3 linked regions of the Coturnix japonica genome follow. The protein of the gene in region 3 purifies or fractionates together with the protein of the main gene of each other region. This does not show direct contact. Links are inferred from orthologs where the notes say so. Each region holds a gene or a part of one and is shown on either strand. Other genes may lie near its edges.

What was found.
Region 1: the proteins of TSEN15 (region 3) and TSEN54 purify together in Homo sapiens (affinity purification with mass spectrometry; 4 studies listed by BioGRID and IntAct, counting the BioPlex papers as one, with this or other methods). This does not show direct contact. The link is inferred for Coturnix japonica from reciprocal best matches to the Homo sapiens genes TSEN15 and TSEN54.
Region 2: the proteins of TSEN15 (region 3) and CLP1 purify together in Homo sapiens (affinity purification with mass spectrometry; 4 studies listed by BioGRID and IntAct, counting the BioPlex papers as one, with this or other methods). This does not show direct contact. The link is inferred for Coturnix japonica from reciprocal best matches to the Homo sapiens genes TSEN15 and CLP1.

The regions. Positions count from the first base shown.
Region 1 is NC_029533.1:9,501,482-9,505,658, reverse strand, and holds the start of TSEN54 (tRNA-splicing endonuclease subunit Sen54), read right to left. Parts: upstream 2,813-4,177; 5' UTR 2,735-2,812; coding exon 2,706-2,734; intron 2,670-2,705; exon of another isoform or gene 2,655-2,669; intron 2,560-2,654; coding exon 2,425-2,559; intron 1,680-2,424; coding exon 1,616-1,679; exon of another isoform or gene 1,498-1,615; coding exon of another isoform or gene 1,479-1,497; coding exon 1,395-1,478; intron 231-1,394; coding exon 132-230; intron 1-131.
Region 2 is NC_029520.1:7,785,331-7,789,364, reverse strand, and holds CLP1 (polyribonucleotide 5'-hydroxyl-kinase Clp1), read right to left. Parts: upstream 2,697-4,034; 5' UTR 2,581-2,696; coding exon 1,975-2,580; intron 1,364-1,974; coding exon 692-1,363; 3' UTR 513-691; downstream 1-512. Other genes in the region: YPEL4 (protein yippee-like 4), read left to right, coding at 3,123-3,629, 3,970-4,013. UniProt on the Homo sapiens protein: Polynucleotide kinase that can phosphorylate the 5'-hydroxyl groups of double-stranded RNA (dsRNA), single-stranded RNA (ssRNA), double-stranded DNA (dsDNA) and double-stranded DNA:RNA hybrids. dsRNA is phosphorylated more efficiently than dsDNA, and the RNA component of a DNA:RNA hybrid is phosphorylated more efficiently than the DNA component.
Region 3 is NC_029523.1:7,227,946-7,232,281, reverse strand, and holds the start of TSEN15 (tRNA-splicing endonuclease subunit Sen15), read right to left. Parts: upstream 2,849-4,336; 5' UTR 2,731-2,848; coding exon 2,440-2,730; intron 2,350-2,439; coding exon 2,268-2,349; intron 1,283-2,267; coding exon 1,147-1,282; intron 1-1,146. Other genes in the region: COLGALT2 (procollagen galactosyltransferase 2), read left to right, coding at 3,719-3,990. UniProt on the Homo sapiens protein: Non-catalytic subunit of the tRNA-splicing endonuclease complex, a complex responsible for identification and cleavage of the splice sites in pre-tRNA. It cleaves pre-tRNA at the 5' and 3' splice sites to release the intron.

The sequences.
Region 1 (4,177 bases), on a different chromosome or scaffold from region 3:
GGGTGGTGGTAGTAGGGAAACTCAGAACAACTCTACTTCCCTTCCTGTCTACCCTGTCCCTGGGAAAGGTCATGTTGCAAAGGCTGGGCTTGGCTTCCTGCTTTCATCCTCTGCTGAAGCTCCCAACACACCTGGTAACGTAGCAGGTTCATCACCTCCTGGGACAGCAGAATTTCATAGGCTTCCTGGACTGACATAATCATGTCTTTGTAAAAGAGCTGAAGAGAGCCCTGCGGAGATAAAGACTGATGTTTAGAGGATCACAGGGAACAAATCTATGCAAGGTCATAACAGCATCTTGTCAGTGGGTCCCAATAGCTGGACCCAGCACCATCCTTGCCTTTTCAAGCACTTCCTGGATTCCTACATACAGTCCCTCCTCAACACTATGGTTTTAGCAGTGAGGTAAGATGTTTTTATCCAAAGCTGCCAGCTTCTGTCCCAGCACTACCCCTTAATACTACTGCATCTGCTCAACTGTTGAAATATAATTGTTTTGGGAGATAATTCCCTTTAATTTTGATCATCTCAGTAATCTAGTACACAGCACAGCCACAAAACATTTAGTACTAGCAACATGGAGAGAGCTGAGAAAGGGGAACTGAAGGCATCTTCAGATACTACCAGCTGGTGGCTCCTTAAACATTTACAGCCTCAGACCCAGAGATAAATTTCACCAGGCAATAGCAATTAATCTCCAGAGGCTATACCTCTTTTTCCAAAAACAAGCAAACAAAAAACACACAGATGGTCTTCTCTGCTTCTGGGGATGGGCTCTGTACTTAACAAATGATTAAGTATTACTGAGGGGTTTTTTTGTTTGTTTGTTTGTTTTTTAAAATCTATTGTCGAACTGCAAAAGGCAAAGAATATCCAGCTACTGCAATAAAGACTTAATATTACTAGATACCCATGAATCTAATTAAAGGCAAAAAAGCTCCCCTTTAGATTGGTGCACCTATGCCACTGGTAACAACTGTCTGTGAAGAGAAAACCCAGAGTTATTACTACTTTACTAACAGTAACACAAATAATCCAGACACTTTTCCAATATCTACCATCACATCTGATATATAGTGGGATAAAGACAATACCAGTTGGATAAATTGGCTACTGGTTCAATTGACACATCCTATCAACAGCACAAAGACTGCTTTCGAATGCAACAGATAAACCCATGGCCTGGAAACCAACAATGCCATCAGCAAACAGGCTAAGAGACAACACCTTGGGAATCAGTCATTTATCAACTGCTCAGTTTGCAGCAACAACCAACACACGTCAATTGACTTTAGACGTGAATCAAAAGGGAGGTAAACATCCAGCTACTACAGCTCCCTCAGTCATTCATGAAAAGCCCAGTGCTCCCATCCATGTGTAGGTAGCCTACTTACACACTCCAGCAAGTACAGAGCCTCCTCAGGCAGTAGACACTGTTTGCCACACTGTGAGAATCCCATAGTGTGCCAGAACTTCCCCTGCAACAGAAGCACAAACCTGTGATGGATTATGGCTGTTCACTGCTGACAACCAGGCTCTCTCCCATTTCAAGAAGCAAAACAAGGAGTTGCCAGCAGGAGATGATGGTACTGAGTACACTCTGCAGCAGACTCACCGCAGGGGACTCCAGCTCCACAATGCCCTGTTCTGGCTTCCACACGGCTTTCACCAGATTCCCCCTGAGAAGGTTAAAAATTAGGGTTTCTTTGTTACCAGCATGTTTTACAATCAGCCATGATTAACTCCTATTCTAGCAATTTAACAAGGTTAAACAACAGCAAACCTTCAGGCAGTACTTTTACAATGTAAAGCCTGAGAAAGCTGCTATTCTCTGCATCCAGCAGTACCAGGTGAGGATTTTTATCATCACACGCTAGTTAAGAGCACCTCCAGGCATCACCCAAATGTCAGTCCATACTGCAGCATGCTGCTGGAGATACAACTATATGCTTAGTACCTCAATTTCCCTGTGTCAATGGCTGTTATATGAAAGGAACCTTAACCTTTCCAACCTCCCTTCCATTCTGAGAGCCTCCATTGCTGCTCCAGACACATGTTTACAGATATGCAGTGGAAGGCAACAACGCACTCCGCCTTGCCTGAAAGCCACCACCCTGAAAGCCTGTGCATCTTTATGCAAAGGGCTTCTACCACTTAGCAATAACAGGAAAACTGTTAGCACACAACTGGTGGAGAAGCGACAAACAGCTGAGGAAAGCTCCCAAGAAACCACGATTTCCAGAGTACAGCAGAAACCACCAGAACTGATGCAGCATAAGGAGCTCCGAGCGATGCCTGCACTGCAGCACCACCAGCACGCAGCCTGCAGGCCCACCCGGCCGCACCAAGGGGCTGTGCGGGCCCATCCAAGCCGGCTACGCCCCCACTGCCGCTGGGACCCAAGCTCTGGGCGCAGACACTTACGGCCGTTCCACACGCTCCTCAGCCAGCTGCTGCCGCTGCTCCTCCAAACACACCCGCAGCCGCTCGGCCTGCTCGGCTGAGCCGTCGGGCACCAGCTCCTTCTGCCCGCAGGAGCGCCGAGGGGCCCTATTCCGCCTGCAGGGAAGGAGGGAAGCGGTAAGAGCACAGCAGCGCCAAACCAAGCACAACCGCTGCCACTAAACCATCAACTTCACCGCTCCCATCTCCACCTCAGCCGTCAGAGCCGCCCTTTTAAGTCTCCCACCCTCCCTGCCCTTCACCTCGGGTGCCGCGAACAGCCCGACTCCATCGCCGCTCAACACGGGACGCCCCAGCGCCGGCGGAGCGCTATGAGAGCCTCGCGCGCCCCCTGGCGGCTCGGAGGGCGCAGGGAGCCGGGAGCAGGAGCCCGGCGGGGCGGGGCAGCCGGTCGCCGTCGGTGTTCATGGAGCTGTACGTGAAATGAGCAGAAAAACAGCTGGGAAAGATGATGGGTCGTTAAAGACTGGGACATCGCTAACTAATAACCTCGGAAATGTAGCTGAATTTCAATAAACTCAGATGGTGAGAAAAAAAGATAAAAATGCGCCTCCTTCCACCTCATTATCGTGGGCATCACAGTTGCTGTAGGGCCACCCAGAACCGTCTGGAAGTGCCTGCAATCCTCCAGAACTGGCTGGGAGCCTCTGGAATGCTCTGGAACCTTCCAGAACAACCCACAACTGTCCAGAATGGGCCAGAACTCCTCTGGAACAATCTGGAATAATGTGAAACAAGTGGATGGGGAACAACCTGAACTTATGTGGCTTGTCTCCCACTAGTGAGTCTGTTGAATGAAATTTGTTCAATTAGCAACCAGGGAGGACTGATAAAACACTATTAGTCGGATTCCAACCCTATGCTAAGGGCCAGTGAGTCACCTCTTCCCACCTGGCAGAACATGCCTGCTCTCCGTCTTGGTTACCCAGCTGTCATGGGCCAGTTTAGCTGTATAGAAGGTTCAGGTGGCAATCAGTTTTGGGGGAAGGATGTCACTAACCTGCTATCTGGCATGGCTTAGGGACCTCAATTCCAGCTTACCCTTAGGGCTGCAACAGTGGGGAAGGCAGGATTAGATTTTATTGCTGTATGTTCAGAGTTTGAAAGTGGGTGAAGGGCAAATGAAGGCAATGACAGATCCTTTATTTGAGAAATAGGTGCTATAGAAAAAGGCACCAAAAGGAATTAACTCACTCCTCCCAGTAACAGCTTGGAGAAAGGGACAAGTTGAAGAATGTGACCCTTCCAGTTCGTATAGTCAAACTGCAGCGGAGAAAAGGGGCGGGAGGAAGGGGGGACCCCACGCAGACTCAGATTGCATGGAAGCAGGGTGGTTCCAGACCTCCCCCTTCTGCTCCAGGTACTCATGTACTCTTGTAGCTCACTCACTGATTTAGGCTGTGACCCTAGAATTCCACTACAGTGGGGATGAGGATAGTGGAAATGGGGAAACTGATGAGGCTGAGCCAGGGAGTGAACCCTGCAAGCACAGCCAAAGTTGATATCTGTTGATAGCTCAGGAGGTAGAAGTAAATAAGGTGGGCAGTCAGTATGCCACTTGTGTGAATTGATCACAAGCACAACTGTGACATGAGTTTCAGTACTGCGTCAATTCTCTGCTTTTCTCACTGTGCTTTTCACACAGACTGCAGCAGTCCTTCAAGCTGCCTATCTGCACGAGGAGCTGTATTGTTGTTGTTTTTTCTATTAAGTA
Region 2 (4,034 bases), on a different chromosome or scaffold from region 3:
CGGAAGGACGCGAACAACTCCCGGGTCAGCGCTCAGGGCCCGGGAGGAAGCGGCGGGCAGGGCCGGGAGCGGCCGAGCCGTGAAGCGGCGGGCGTGGGCTCGGAGGCGGCACCGGGGCACGGCGCGGCCGGGGCTCCGCGGCCCTACGGCCGGCAATGAGGGGAGGAGAAGGGAGCGACGAGAGCGGGACGGGCCGTGCGGGGATCCCGCGTTACTCACCCACACTGCGGCGCGGCCCGGGCGGCGCCCAACGCTACCGGGCACGGAGCGAGCGCAGCGCTCGGCGGATGGGCACCACGTCACGGCTGCGCATGCGTGTCCCGCCCCGTCGGCAGCGCGTCCTCATTGGTCGGAGCCTGGGAACACACTGGAAGGAGCCGGGGGAGCGCGCTGCGCATGCGCCAAAAGGGAAGCAGCCACGCGCATGCGCCACTGGGGGGCGGGGGGGAGAGGGGATCAGCACCCAGGGGCCCATCCCTCCATCCTACAGCCTAGGCAACAAGCAGCACAGAGCCAAAGAGACATGAATTTAATAACAAATGTTACAAAAGGATATAAAAACAACATATGGCCTCCTGCTCCAGCTGTGCCCACACTAACACAGCGCATGGAAGCTGCTGGGCAATGAGAAGTGGTACAAGGACACACATGGCCATCCCGCACGTCCCCCCCTGCCCCATCCCTGCTGGAGCTACTTGAGGTCCATGAAGCGGATATCCATAATGAGCAGGAAGTTCTTGGGCAGCGGGCGAGGGGCAGGAGACAGCACGGTGAACACCTGGCGCTCCAGGTCCACCCCGGTGACCACGATGAAGCCGGCCACGCTGGTCTCCGAGATGTTGTCGTCGGGGCTGTCGGCCATGCTGACGCTCAGCAGGTGATGCACCATGTCCCGACCCGGAGTCACCGGCACCAGCTTCAGCTGGTTGTCCTCCTGCGACATGCCCAGCGGCAGGCAGGAGTCGGGGATGGTGGGAGCCCCCACCTTGTAGATCTTAACATCAGAGAACTTGACATCGAAAGCGTGGGGGTAGAAGCAGCCCCGGAAGCCATAGAAATACTCCCTGATGCGATCATCTCGGCACTCCCGCCTGAAGTCCTTGGAGCGCTCCACCACCCCACCGGATTTGGGGAGCAGCACAGTGCGCACAAAGTGGGGCAGGTCCCTCTTAAGCTCGTTGTAGAGCCGCTCCTGGTCCAGCACCACCACCACATCTACCTCAAAAGCCGAAGCAGCGTGAACCAGCGCCTGGTAACCAGAGCCTTTCACCCAGCCGCATGTGTTGATGACGCAGCCGCTGACCGACGCACGACGGTTCACTTCACATCGCTGGTTGAAGACGTCAGCCAGGCGGGATGTGATCTGCAGGCAGATATTGGGACACGAGGATAAAGCATGTGGGATTGAGAGGGATGTTTCCATTCCCACAAGGCATCCACACAGCTGGAGGCCATGTGATGAGGACCTGTCCCATTCTTAGCGATACAGCAATCAGAGGCAATGCTCCTAACTCACTCAGTGGGTTTATTTAGTGCTAAGAGGTAGAAGCAATGCCTGGGCCACAGGCAGTCACTTGAGCTGAAATCCTTCCTTGCCCACCTCCCAGTTAATAGCCCCAGAGGGGCAGCAACCGCATTTGGTGCTGAAGCTGCCCATAAAGTGCATTACGTGCACTAAAGGCTGCTTGACCACATCAGCAGAGCTGATCCCAATGTTGCACAGACAGGACGAGGGCAAGCGTGTGGCTGAGGGCAACCTTCAGCCAAATAGGGGCTCCTAACCATCACCAAACTGCAGACAGAGAAGGACGCTGGGGATTTGGACCAGCTTTTTACCCTTCGTGCTTTTGTTGGTGCATCGCACCACGGTTTTATACAATAGGCAACCCCTGACTCACAGGGGCGGGCAAGACACCCTGGAGCTCCAAGCAGGGCCAAGCACAAGGTGACACAGCAGGGACTCCACACACTCACCTTGTTGTACAGCTTGATGTTGGTGCCGGGTGTGGTGGAGCCAAAGTGATAAACCAGCGGGGCCTGCAGGGAGAAGCCCTCCTCCACGTCAGCCGGCCGCTCGATGTACAGGGCTCCCATGGTGCCGGGGATGGACACGGAGCCCTGCCCCACGTCCAGCTCCACGAAGGTGGGCCGGCGGCCGAGGCGCACGGCGTAGTTGAGCAGCAGGCGGCACACGGTGGACTTGCCCACGTCGGTGGGGCCCACCACCATGACGCGGGGTCCCCGCTCGTCCTCGCGCTCCGCCTGCCGCCTCATCTGCTCCAGGGCCGTGTGTGTGTTGAGGTAGAGCAGCATGGGGGTGTCCTTGGAGACATAGGCCACCTCGGTGCGCCCGCTGAGCTGCACGGTGCAGCCGTGCCACGTGAACACGGCCACCTTGGCACCGGCATCGAACGTGAACTTCTTGTTGCGGGTCAGCTCGGTGCCGAACACCTCGGCCATGCCGGTCAGCAGCTCCATCTGCACCGTCTGCGAGGCCTCCACTTCGAAGCGCAGCTCGGTCTCCCGCTCCAGCTCGAACTTTGCCACCTGCTTCTTCTCATCGCCGCCATCATCCGCCATGGCCCGGCCCGACCGCACCGCGCAGTGCGGCACGGCTGGACCCCGGGAACGGGACGGGGCAGCACGGGACGGAGCCCGGACTGCAGCAGGGCCGTCTTACGTCACAGGACGCGACGGAACTGAGGTGGTAGCGCAGCCCGCTCCATCACCGGGATGGGGCGTGCTGGGAGATGCAGTCCGGGCCCGGTTCTGCGGGCAGCCCCCCGGTGCTGCCTGTATCTCACCGTACAGCTCCTATCGGGGGCCGCACCCGCAGCCTCTCCCCGTTTCACCGCTCCCGGCCCCGCTGTGTGCCGCGGGCACAACGGGACCCACGCTCCCCTCCTGCCCCGGGGGCCGCTCGGAAGCGCACGGAGCCGGCAGAGCGGCCTCAGCTCTGCCCGTGTTGGCGGTGCCGTGTCGGTGCCATATCGGTACCGTATCGGTGCCGTATCTGTGCCGTGTCGGTACCGTATCGGTGCCATATCGGTGCCGTGTCGGTGCCGTATCGGTGCCGTGTCGCCGCCGTGCGGTGACGTCGCGCAGTGAGTCACGGCGCCGTGATGCAGTGCCCGTACCGCGGCTCTCCCCTCCCTTCCCCCCCACCTCCGTCTGCTGCCCCCGCCCCGCCCCGGCACCGGGGACAGCGGCATTGGGGAGCACGGCAGGCGGTGAGCTCAGAGGCACCGGGGACGGGGGGAGTGGGGGGGGTAGGGCGGTGCTGCGGGGCACAGCGCTGCCCCCTCCTCACCCCATCCCCATTAACCCTTCGCAGGCCGCCCCCCCTCACCGCCCGCTTCTCACCCGGGGGGACGACGGCTGTCAGCACGCTGCTGCGCTGCTTCTTCCCCTGCGAGCGGCTGTGCGGGGGCTGCACCATGCCCCCCGCACCCCCGCGACCCCCCGGGGCGCTGCCGCCCGCCGTGCCCCCCGCCCGCCGCCACCGGGTCCCCGCCGCCGCTCGTCTGCCTCCCCGGACCTTCCACAGCTACTTACCGCGCTCCCACCGCACCTACAGCTGCGTACATTGCCGTGCACACCTGGCCAGGCACGAGGAGCTCATCTCCAAGGTGCCCCCTCTGCGCCCGCGTTACCTCCCCGGGGCCCTGGGGTGGCCATCGTCCCCTCTGCCGTGTCCCTGGGAAACAGTGAGAGTCCCCCCAGGGCAGTGGTGTCTGTCCTCTCTCTGCATAGTCCCCTTCATGCTGTCCCCTCCACAGCGTCCCCTCCACAGCATCCCCCCTGCAGTGTCCCCTCCGTGGTGTCCCCAGTGCCAGGTGTCCCTGTGCCCATACTCCCCACGGCATCTCCATAGCAGACAGTGCCTCCCCACGGTGGCGTGGTGGTGATGGAGGAGGGGGTGAGGGTGGCACAGGGGACGCTGGGTTGAGTCACGCTGTGTCCCTGCAGTCCTTCCAGGGCAGCCATGGCCGTGCCTACCTGTTCAACTCGGTGTGAGTACTGCGGTGGTGGAC
Region 3 (4,336 bases):
CTTTGCGAAGAAAACCACCCGTGCAGCTCGTGCCCAGGCTTACTATTTGAGCAAGGAAATACTGACCTAAACACTGCCAACTACTAGCAGCTTATGCAGATAGCACAAACCTTCAGGGCCCAGGAATGAGGACAGACTATTTTCACCTTCCCAACCACCTCCAATGGCTTCTGCTTTAATGTTAAGTGAACTGCATTTACTTGTATTCAGACCTGAAATTCCTAAAGCTGTTGTCAAGCAGGAAGACAGTACATGCTTGTATCAAGCATATACAGGCTTTAATGAACTCACCTGGCATTAAAGCCCAACATTTGGCTCACTTTAGTGACAATGTGCTCTCTGCACTTGCTCTATAGCAAAACCTAGTCACAAACTGTACTTTCAATCAATGTGATGCATTCACTCTTTGCTCCTCTAACTCACATCCTTCCAGTAACAGATTCCATGCACACTGATGCCAGCAGCAGAGCAAACAGCATCACCACAAAACAAACAAGTCCAGAGGCTCCAAGTGAAAAGCCCCAGTGAAACAGTACCAGATAGGACGTACACACAGCACATCATCTCCCTGTCATTAAAAACTAATTAGAACGTACTTGCTGGCTTTGACTCAATTCCTAGGAATCAAAGTTTCCAACGTAGGTGGAAACCTACTACGTTAAATAAACACAGTAACTCAGCACACAGGAGCAATTTCTCAAAGGCCCCATATTGCAACTTGCTGCTCAGTTTACCATCCTGCAAGTCCTGTAAGCAGATCTGCTCTATCACACTGTATTTATGAAACCGAGCCCACAAGAAATGACCACTGTTTGCCAATGGAAGACTCTTCAGTAACTAGATAGCACTTGAATCCATCAATCTGCTGAGCCATTCTCTTCCCCCTCACAAATTGCTTCTGATGATACACTCTTAGGAAAGCACAGAATTAAGATGGAAGTTTGTTGCTAAAGACTGATTTGTCACTCCTGAAGCCTAAGCAAAAAACATAGCGTATCTAAAACATGCTGTGTCGAGATCACAGCTCAAAGGATAGTTGTGCGTTAGATTCTCAGCAAGTATGAGGCACCTCCAGTTGAAAGCCTCTCATCTAGTCTTCTTTTTAACCTATGGGCAATGGGATCCAAACACTGAGCACAGCCTCACCTCTCATGGCTCACTAACACGTCCGCAGGTATTGGCACCATCACTTGGAGATCAGCCTGCTCTTTTTCACGGGCATGTAAGCATACAAGCTGCAGTTCTGCTAATCCAACGTGCTTCACTTCATGCCAGCTTCTCCCTAAAAAGGTCAGTTGTCGATGAGAAGGATCAGGACACAAAACACAAGTTTCATTCATTCAAATATTAGGTTTCAAATTTTGTTTAACATTTTTGGTTGTTTCCCTCCTTCTCCTCACAGAACATTTCCCAGGAGAGACAAACAGCCCATGCAAACGCTAAGTTCCCTTTTTGAGTGCTCCTATGGAACATTTATTACACTGCCTGCCCTCCTTTTCAATTAAGCCAGTTTGGGAGAGTTTGCAGAGCTTTAGAATCATAGAATCCTTAGAGTTGGAAAGGACCTTTGGAGGTCACCTGGTCCAACTCCTCTGCAATGAACAGGGACATGCACAGATTCATAAGGTGCTCAGAGCCTGGTCCAGCCAGGCCTTGAAAGTCTCCATGGATGGGGCACCCACCACATCTTGGGCAACCTGTGTCAGTGCCTCACTGCCCTAACTATAAAAGACACTGTTCATTGTCACATAACTCTATTCCACTCTTGTAAAGCTCCAAAAGACTACACAAAGCTTGCCATAATTATTGCCACCAGGCACCCTTCTTTCCTACAGATATCCTTGACCTTTCCAGCCACCAGCATCCCAATGACGCCAGGGCACTTCTGCCAGTTCCTAATCTGGACTCTGAGGGAGCTGCTGTGATTTAGAAGCCTTAATATTAACACACAGAAGAGCATTCTATTGCCACAACAACCCCTGAGCTTGTACCCTCTCCTTTCTGCCTCATTCTTTCTTCCCCTGCTCCTCTCCTGGCACTGCAGCCATGCCAGCAGATGAAGGCAAGCCCTAACCTTTGCAAAGGCTCTTACAGATATGTGATGGGAATCTGCAGTGCCAAAACACAGCGTTACTTATGGAACGATCACTGCATCTAGTTTGAAAACCACTGCCAAGGACTTTACTAGGAATGGCTCTGCTGTCATAAAACCTGAGTACATGTGAATGCATTTTTGCTATGCTCATCCAGTCCATTCATTCAATTACCTTCCAGGAGGTCCAGGTACACCAGGAAAGCAGCATAGATCTGAGAGCTGTTGGATATATCGAGGGACATCATCGCTGTGAACTGAAAGCCAGAAGGCAGCATCGGTCAGAGGAAGCTCCCTCCGCCTCCATCCCCGCACAGCGGGCAGCCCGACCCGCCCCCGCCCCGTACCGTGGGGTGCGCGGCCATCCAGTCTCCACCATCAGCAGCATCGTCACCGCTGCCCCCCGCCCGGCTCCTCTTGGCTCCCGAGCCGCCCTCCGCCGCCCCGCATGGCTCCTCCATGCTCCCCCGGTGCAACACGGCCGAGCTCCGGGCGGCACAACGCAGCGCTGCCCGCCCTTGTAGTTCCGCCTCCACGCTGTTCCCTGACGGCTGCGGGGGGAGCGACACTGAGGGGTGTAGGAAGGAGGAGGCAAACGAAGGCAAAACTAAATAGTGTGCTGTTATAGCCCGAGTCATTCTGTGCGGAGAGTTCTCCTCCCAGTCCGCACACGTATCTGGGATTGCTCCAGTGCCGTGTTGACCCTCATTAGGTTCACGCGGACCCACTGCTCCAGCCTGTCCCTCTGGACGGCATCCCTTCGTCTTGTTGCATCGACTGCACCGCTCTGCTGGGCGTCATCAAGCTGGCTGAGGGTGCACTCAAGGCAGAGCTGGGAGCAGCCAGATGGCGGCACTGCAAAGGGGAAACACCAGGGCTGAGCGAGAAACAGAAGGTTAAATTGGATGGGTTTGGACCCTGTGCGTGTGGAAGAGGGTCCTGGCTTAGGAAACAACGTGGTACAGCTGGAGCAGCCGTGGCTCAGTGCATTGGGAAGCGCTGGGTGCCAGCCTTGTGTGTCACACACAGCGCATCTGCCACCAGTGAGGGGTCTGCGGCAGCACCGTGTGTGCCCGGCTCCTTCGGGGCCCTGATCCCTTGGTGTGGATGCCAGCACTGCTCCTTCCGTGTGGTTAATGAAGCTGAGCGGAACAGCGACATGTGGCCAATGCAGCGTGAAAGGAAAGCCTCGTTAGCACATCGTTCTAGAGGGACAATTAGAAAGATGTCACGGAGGGGAAACAGGAACACGTCCTCCTTAATTGCTCCGGTGGATGCTTATGGACTGTAGGAGGTTCTCCGATCGCAGCGTACCTGGAGACCCTTTACTGAAGTCGTGATAGGAGAGCGGGGGAGACCTTATCGCCGTCCCACAGGCGCAGGTTGGCTGTTGGGACAGGCATTAAAGCCGCAGGTGCGCTGCAGCCACACGAGGCGTATCGAACTATCCGCCCCGCCTCCACCTGCCCGTCGCCGGCTCCGCCCTGCAGCCCGTGGGGGCGGGCCGAGCCGCGCCGAGCGGAGCCGGGGGATCCGCGCTGCCCATAGGGCAGCTATAGGGCAGCTATAGGGCAGGCTGCGGGGCGCCGGGCCGCCGCTGCCCCTCCCCGCGGCCCCGCGCCTATCATGGCTGTGTGCACGGCGCCCCGCGCCCTCCATCCCGCTCTCCTCCTCCTCCTGCTGCTTCTGCTGCTCGGCTGTGGGACCAGCCTGCCCCCCGAGCCGCCGCCGCCGCCGCCGTCGGACCCCGAGCTGCAGCCGCAGCCCCTGCCCGAGTCGGCTCTGCAGAAGCCCACCGTGCTGCTGGCCATCATCGCCCGCAACGCGGCCAGCGCGCTGCCGCACTTCCTCGGCTGCGTGGAGCGGCTGCGCTACCCCAAGAGCAGGATCGCGCTCTGGTAAGGGGGCCGGGGCCGCGCGGTGCTGCGGGGATGGGGATGGAGCGAAGCCGGGCACCGCTCCGAAGCCGCAGAACGCGGTGAGGGGGAGCGGCTCGTTCGCTGTGCCTCCAGTGCGGGTGGGCGACGGGAAGGAGCGCTGATGCGGGGCGTCCGCTGGGGGATCTGTGTCCGCATGGATCGGGGAGCGCCGTGTGCGGAGCGTCGGAGCCCATGTGGGCTGCGCTGTCTGCATCTGTCTGCAGAGCTGGAAACAAATCTCTTATCTGGATGTAAATGATGAGAACAACGGGACCTGCCCCACATGGATAAGCGAGTACGCGTGGAAATGGGGATGTAGGGCCTG